2 linked regions of the Coturnix japonica genome follow. The protein of the gene in region 2 interacts with the protein of the main gene of each other region in a biochemical or structural test. Links are inferred from orthologs where the notes say so. Each region holds a gene or a part of one and is shown on either strand. Other genes may lie near its edges.

Evidence for each region.
Region 1: the proteins of NF2 (region 2) and AMOT form a complex in vitro, tested with the Homo sapiens proteins (2 studies listed by BioGRID and IntAct). The link is inferred for Coturnix japonica from reciprocal best matches to the Homo sapiens genes NF2 and AMOT.

Annotation. Positions count from the first base shown.
Region 1 is NC_029519.1:12,294,888-12,298,538, forward strand, and holds part of AMOT (angiomotin), read left to right. Parts: intron 1-1,984; coding exon 1,985-2,107; intron 2,108-2,750; coding exon 2,751-2,983; intron 2,984-3,651.
Region 2 is NC_029530.1:9,911,098-9,914,848, forward strand, and holds the start of NF2 (merlin), read right to left. Parts: upstream 2,328-3,751; 5' UTR 2,238-2,327; coding exon 2,124-2,237; intron 1-2,123. UniProt on the Homo sapiens protein: Probable regulator of the Hippo/SWH (Sav/Wts/Hpo) signaling pathway, a signaling pathway that plays a pivotal role in tumor suppression by restricting proliferation and promoting apoptosis.

The DNA of each region.
Region 1 (3,651 bases), on a different chromosome or scaffold from region 2:
GCCATTCCTAGAAGCTATTGCTTCAAAAATAGATGTGTGAGGAGCGTTGTTGGGGTTGTTTTTTTTCTTTTTTTTTTTTCTCTTTTCAAACAGGAGTCAGTCCTTGCTGAAGTCATGTGGGATGGGGTGAGTTTGGTGATTCACATCGTTCGCCCTGAATGGCTTGCTTGTTCTCCAGAATGTTTTTGCAAATTACTTTGTGGTATTGTCCTCCACATGGTTACTAACCAGAAGCATCTACTAGGAAATTCTGCTCAAAACATTCTGCTGTGTGTGGAGAGTAGTTCTTGTGGGAGTGGGAAGGGAAGGGTGTCTGAAATTGGGTAACAAGCTCACATTCCAATGCAGCTGTATAGAAGCAGTTATTATGGTTATAAATAGGCCCAAGTCTTCAGCTCGCTTGTAAACAAGCACTGCTATTGGAGAGCAACTCTTTAACTTCAGGTAGTGCTTACATGTAATTTCATTGATCACTAGTTTCAGTTTCTTAACAGCAGATTTTATTTTAGATTGTTTCACAGACGAGATTCAAATGGGGATGTTATCGCAGCTGGCTTCCTAGCACATAAGATCATACTGAAATTACAGGGGCAAAGTTGCAGATCTGCTGTGTTAGCAGTTAAAGACTTACCTTGCTCCCCAAGCATGCTGTTATTTTGGGGTATTGATGCTTCTTGTGAACTGTTTTCTGCCTCCCCAGTGATTGTTTAAAGGCTTTTGATACCGCTTGGCCCTCGAGGCTATGTTATATTTTCAGCATGCACTGATAAATAGAGGTCTGGTCTATTGTTTATCATGGGGTGAGAGGGGATGTGTTAGGCCTGTTCGGGTTTTGTTAAATGAACAAAGAATGCTTTCCAGTCAGGAAAGAGCAAACCTACTTTTCCGTTTCCTTCTAGCTCCTTCTCCCTTAAAATAAACTGTTCCATCAGTACCGCTGCCAGTTTACATGCAGTTTATTATAGCCTTCTCAAAAACAGGCTGTAAGGGATTTCACTAATTTCAACGGTAACCTCATCTACACTGTGCACAAATTTGCTTTCCTTTCTCTTTGGTGGTGAAAAATAGCATCCCTTAGGAAGACGGGGTTGCAGGAAGGATGCTTTACAGCACAGGCAGGAATCTAGGTCACGTTAGGGTTCTTTGATGAGTGACCTTCCTATGCCCTTCAGACTCATTTGTTGCTGTTCCTGGTCTGAACTTTTGCAGGGTTAAATGTACATTTATCAGTCAGTTCTTAGGGCTGCTGGGTCTAAGAGAGTAAGTTTCTAATTACAATGAGTTGCAGCTATTGGTAACTCCAACTGTTTTTTTAATTAATACTATGTTAACACATAGCTATGTCAGTAACATGCTCTTAAGCATTAGGAATCATACAGTGGTATAAAGCATAGCACAGTATCTTCATTCTGACTGTACAGCAACAAGTAGGATGACATGTTTTGGTTAATGGAATGAACAACCATTACAGTGTACACGTCAGGCACTAATTGATCTTAAACTGTTTTCAGCCCACTCTTAAGTTTTTTGGATCAAGTTGCTTAGAAATGCTGAAGAAACTTTAGTGCGTAGTTCCCTTCGATACTCAGATACCCACTTCTTGGAAGAGAAGGGGAAAAAATCTTGCTTCTGAAGCAAAGTTTGTACTTTTTCAGATGAAGAGAAGTGACTAACATTTTATATTATCTTTTCCCATCTCTTCCCTTGGATTTGCCCCATCCGTCTGTTTAAGTTAGCACAGTGCATCAGTTAGATCATAGACTGGCCTGAGATAGACAGCAAGTTGACTGTTGTTAGTATTATTTGCATATTTTTATAATCCTTCTTTCATTACGCCTGGGAGTGGGATTTTCAAAAGACATTGAGCCAGCCTAGGCTCAGAAACAGTAGATGTTCTTGTTACTTTTGAGCAATCAATTAGCACCGCTAGGAGGAAAACAGCATGCTTAGTTTGCCCTTCATCTGCTCTACTGCTTGTTCCCAGGGACACAACAGTGATCAGCCACTCACCTAACCCTAGCTATGACACCTCGCTGGAAGCTCGCATTCAGAAGGAGGAGGAAGAGATCCTGCTTGCCAACAGGAGGTGTCTGGACATGGAAGGAAGGTAAAATGCAGTTTGTCCCTATTTGACTACTTTAGGACAAGGATTTTAAATGAATTATTCAGGTAGATGCCTCAGAACCAGAAATTCACGTGTCTTCACCAGTCACAACAATGTAGAATGCCAGACATTTGTTTGACCAAGGAAGTAACTGCACAGCAATGCAAAACCTGTATTTCAATTTAGTGCCTAGCTTATTCCTCTCTTTTCAGGCCGTCTTCATCAGACCCCAAGTTCCAGTCACTTCTTTATTGTTTCACAGAGTTGTTTTTCCCCAGGGGAAATCGCAGGGATTTTTTGTTGCAGACTCCCCAGACTTTGTGAATATTCTTTTGTTGTTGTTTTTTTGGCCTCATGTCCCACCCATAACTCTCAGCTTTGCTTCAGAGCATCTTCCTTGCCTGTTTAGAGCAGCTTCCAGTAGCCAAAGGTGAGGGGGTGTCTCAGTGAAGTTTTGTATGTAGATGTACAGGAGGCCTCATACACTATGCCGTGTAGTGTCAGAGAACAGCCAGTATTCGAGGTGTCCTCTCCATGCCTACCTGAATGCCCAGGGGAGTTCTAGTCACAGCTGTGGGGTGCTGAGGCCTCAGTCCAAAGTGATGGAAGTTGAAGCATGTTGTTGTCCTTTGTCCTTTTCAAAAAGGATCAAGACTCTGCACGCTCAGATCATTGAGAAGGACGCCATGATCAAAGTCCTGCAGCAGCGCTCCCGGAAGGAGCCTGGTAAGACGGACCAGCTCTCCTCCATGAGGCCTGCCAAGTCACTGATGTCAATCTCAAATGCTGGCTCGGGCTTGCTGTCCCACTCATCCACGCTGAGCAGCACTCCCATCCTGGAAGAGAAGAGGGAGGACAAGAGCTGGAAAGGCAGCCTAGGTAATTTTTAAATAATGGTGGTGATTAAGATACACCAGTCTCTGCCTATAGGGGAGGCAGGAACAGCAGAAAGTAGATATCTGACAGACAGATTGACTGGCTTAGCATGCAGGAAAACTGCCTGCAAGCAGAATGGAACACACTTGCAGCAGCTGCTTGCTTTAATCATTTTTGGGGAAGCTGTGATATCCAAGCTCAGTCATGAAAATTGTTCAGCTTTAATTCCCACTTGGTTTGGTACCTGATAAAAGCAGTATTTGAGATCTGGTTTTCAGAGTTCCCAGGCACTTGCTTTCAGCTGGGCTGTTACAGCTGTCTGAGGGTGTAAAGTCTCCTTCAGCCAGCTGAGATACAGATCAGGATTGCCATCCTGTAGAGCTGTGCCTGCACTAACATGACTTTTGTCTGGAATGGCTCGGCACTATTGTTTGGAGAAAGGAAATTGTATCAAAGGGAATCTTAGATGATGTTTTTCTTTCTCTAAAGAAGTTGGACCCAGGAGTCTTCCCTGAGTTTCTGATAAGTAAATGAGAATCTCTTGCAGCTGATCTCAGGGTGTGCAGATTTATCCATCTGCAACTGAGCAACTGCTCAGAGTCAGGGAAGTAGGATGATAGTGCCAGCTCACTAATCTTTGCATGCAGCAACATGAGAACACTGCTACTCTC
Region 2 (3,751 bases):
GCCCCTGCCTTGCATTTAAGCTTCTGAGTCGATACTCAGGCAGTGCATGGCACTCTGCAGTGTTAATTGACCCAGTGTGTTTTCCAGTAGCTTTTCTCTCCTGCTGCTCTCCAAGCACAGAAATCCGAGTGCAGGAGCTGCGTGGTGGTGCTCAGGAAGATGGGGCAGCCAGCAGCAGCTTAGCAGAGGGATTTCAATAGTTATGCAAATGTCTGTCCTTGCTCAAGATGCTATCAATTAATTAGGCACCACTCTCACAGAGCTCTAATGGAACTAACACAAAAAGGGAGACGTTGACTTTGTGTCTTTAAGATTTCCCTGAACAAATTACAAGTCTTTGAAGTGAGGCCCCAGCTGCAATTATTAAGCTTCATCACAGCATTAGAAAGATTAAGATTTCATTTCTAGGAATTATTTCAGATTTAGACTCAATTTAGAGACATTATGCACAGAGTCAACAGATGCAGAGCAGGTTTAATCTCCTGCAGTACCCAGCCAGGAATTCCTACAGTGCAGACTGAAAAAGGTGGCACTGACACAGCTACAGACACATCAGCTGGCTCAGAATAAAGGGAGCTGCCATGACCAGAGGTGGCAGCAGAACTGGGGTGAAACAGGCTCACATGTGCTCCTCCTGAGCCAGATGGGAATTTACAGCCTGAGTGCCTTGTGTCACACCCAGCCAGTTGTTATCAGACCTTGAATCATGCTGACAACACCTCACCACTCTATGTCACCTCTGTCCTGCGCAGCATCACTCAGGAAAACACAGACCGTGCCTCAAGAGCTCTGTAATAAAGTTAAAGAAGAGCCAGGGAGATTAAATCTGCATAGCAAGGCTGCTCCAGCAGAGCTGGATTCCACCCAGATGGGTTCACTGGCACCGTGATCAGCACTGGTCAAAGAAGCCAGCAGTCAAGCAGGGCTAAACAGGACCCCAGACCATAAGCAGCACCAGCCTCCCCACAGCACCTCCCAGACTGCTCACCCTGCACACACCCAGCATCACTGGAAGGGTCACAAGCACACAGCACGAGGCTGAGATACCGAAGGCACAGAGGTGTGAGGCAGTTGTTTGTAATGGGGCAGGCACTGGTCTCTGTGGATGTGTTTTGGATACAGCCAGCAAGCAGACGAACCTTCCCTGAAGCTGTCACTGCACAGAGGAGGCAGCAACGCAGCCAGGGAGCTCAAACAGCCACAACTGACTCATGCAATGTGCCTCAGCAGCCACTCAGCCTAATCCTTTCTTCCCTGCTGTTGGGAGGCTTTCACACTGGAGGTCAAAGCCTGAGCTCCCCCATGCTCCAGCGAGAGCTCAGAGGTGTGAGCACGCTGCCCATGAGCCTCTCTCAGCTCCCCCAAGGGCTGGGCAGTCTCTGCTGTGAGGTCTTTGGCTGGGGCCACCCCATCAGGCAGCTGAAGGTGCACAAGGTACGTGTTCCAACCTGACTGGGAGCCCTCTTCATAAATGCCCTAATCCCAACATGAAACAACAAGTGGCCACTGTATGAAAGGAGAGTTACTGCCACCGCATCACCTCATTGTCAGCAGCCTAGAGAAGTGTGAGAGCAGAGCCCATAGACCTCAACCCTGCCAGGAGGGTAACAGCCAGGAGCTGGAAGTGACAGTAACTTCTTAATCCCTGGGAATGGCACAGTGTGCCCCAGTGCATTTCAGCAGTGAGATGTCACAAGGACAGACACCCTCCTGCTCACAGGGACCAGAGCTGCGATTTGAACCCACTGAGTTTTCCTTTTTAACAGCTGATGCTTTAACGTGGATAGAGATGGTTCGCTGACTCTACCAGAGCACTTTGTGATCTGCAAACAGCCACAAACGAGGCCCCCGGGGCCACACAGCCCCGGTGAGGATGAGCTGAGAGGCACAGACAAGGCCGAGCTGAGCTCGGTACGGACACAGGGCGGCGGGGCAGGGCTCACCACGACCAACCCCCGCAGCCCCGCGTTGTGCCGAGCAACGGGCCCAGCCCCGTGTGTGTCAGCCCCGACAACCCGCCCCGGGCTCAGGCCGAGCCCTACGACCCCCGGCCGGGCCTGGACCCCGCAGCAGGACCGGGACCGGGACCGGGGGGGCAACGGAGCTTAGGCCGCAGCCGTCACCTCGCAGCTGAACTCCATCTCGGCGTCCATGGTGACGATGCGCACCGTGAAGGTCTTGGGCTGCTTCCGTTTGAGCGAGCTGAAGCTCATTCGGGACGCGATGGCCCCGGCCATGATGCGGGCCGCGCTCAGCGCCGCGGGGGCAGCGCCATAACGGCGGCGGCGGCTCCGGGCCGCGCCGAGCACGGCCTCAGAGCGGAGACTCGCTATTGGTTCCGAGCTCTGATCGTCCCGCCCTCTCCCCGCGGGTCGCGCCGCACGGGAGCCAATCAGAAGCGGCGAGCGTCGCGCAGTGGGGTGAGACAGAGAGAAGGGAAGAGAGGGAGGTGCGGATTGGATGGAACGGCCGCTCGTCAAGTGGGGGTTGAGAAGAGGGCTTCCTGCCCACGCGTTGGGTCGGGGATGTGGCGCCCCCTTGCGGCCGGAGGAACGGGCAGCAACGGGACATAGAGGTACAATGGGAATGGAACCGGGACTGGGACAGCGGTACAGGACTGGGATTGGGAATGGAATAATGGGATGGGGCTGAGTGGGAATAATGGGGGTAATGGGACAGGATCACCAGCACTGGGATAGTGGGATGAGCACTGAAACCAGCACTGGGGTCATGGCACAGGAATAGGGACCATCGCTGGGGTAAATGGAATGGGAGTGGGTCACAGGGAATAATGGGATGAGACCAGAACCACAGCTGGGATGGTGGGGTGGGAATGGGGATAATGAACAGCACCGGGATAATGAAACAAGGGTTGGAACCAGCACTGCCATGGGGATAACGGGACAGTAACAGCACAACACGATGGGACTGGAACCAGCATCATGAAAATGGGATGAGGATTGAGACTGGCATAGGAGTTATGGGATTGGGATAAAAGAATTGGGGCCCCCTTCCAGGCCCCATCTCAGCATCACAGTGCCCCCGCATGCCACAGAATGGGGCCTCTGTGCTGTGGGGCGGGTGAGGGCTGAATGGGACCATTCATGGTGCCACCCCCCTCCCTCCAACCAGCCCCACAAGGACCCTATGGCTGACAGCAACGCTGCAACCCAAGTGGGCATGGGGGGCTATGGAGGGTCTGGGGGGAGCTGCAGGGGATGTGGGGGTATGAGGGAACCAAGGGGATGGGAAGGTACATGGGGAGGTGGGGAGGGGGCATAGTGGGTATTGAGTGTGTCCGGGAGGGGTCTGGGAGGCTGTGGGGGGTATGGAGGGGTCCAAGGGAACCCAAATTAGTAGAAGGTATATGGGGGAATATGTGGGGTGTAAGGGGGGATTAGAGGGGCATGAGGAATTAAGGGACAGTCTGGGAGAGGCATGATGAGCTGTGGGGGATATGGGGGTCCGAGGGAGTCTGTGGATCTATGGGATAGTATGTAGCTATGTGGGGGGCAGTGAGGGCATGGGGATCTATGAGGGGATATGGGGGGGACCCAAGGGAGTACTGGGGAGCTATTGAGAAGATTGGGGGGTGTTGGGGGGGAATGGGGAGCTTTGTGGGAGCATGGGGGGACAGGGGGCATGAGGGACAAAGGCAAACACAGGAGGGAGTGAAAGGGGACCCTGGGGAGTGGGGGGCCAGGAGGACAAGGCACAACATCACAGGGACCTGAGGGGACCCCTCTAAGCT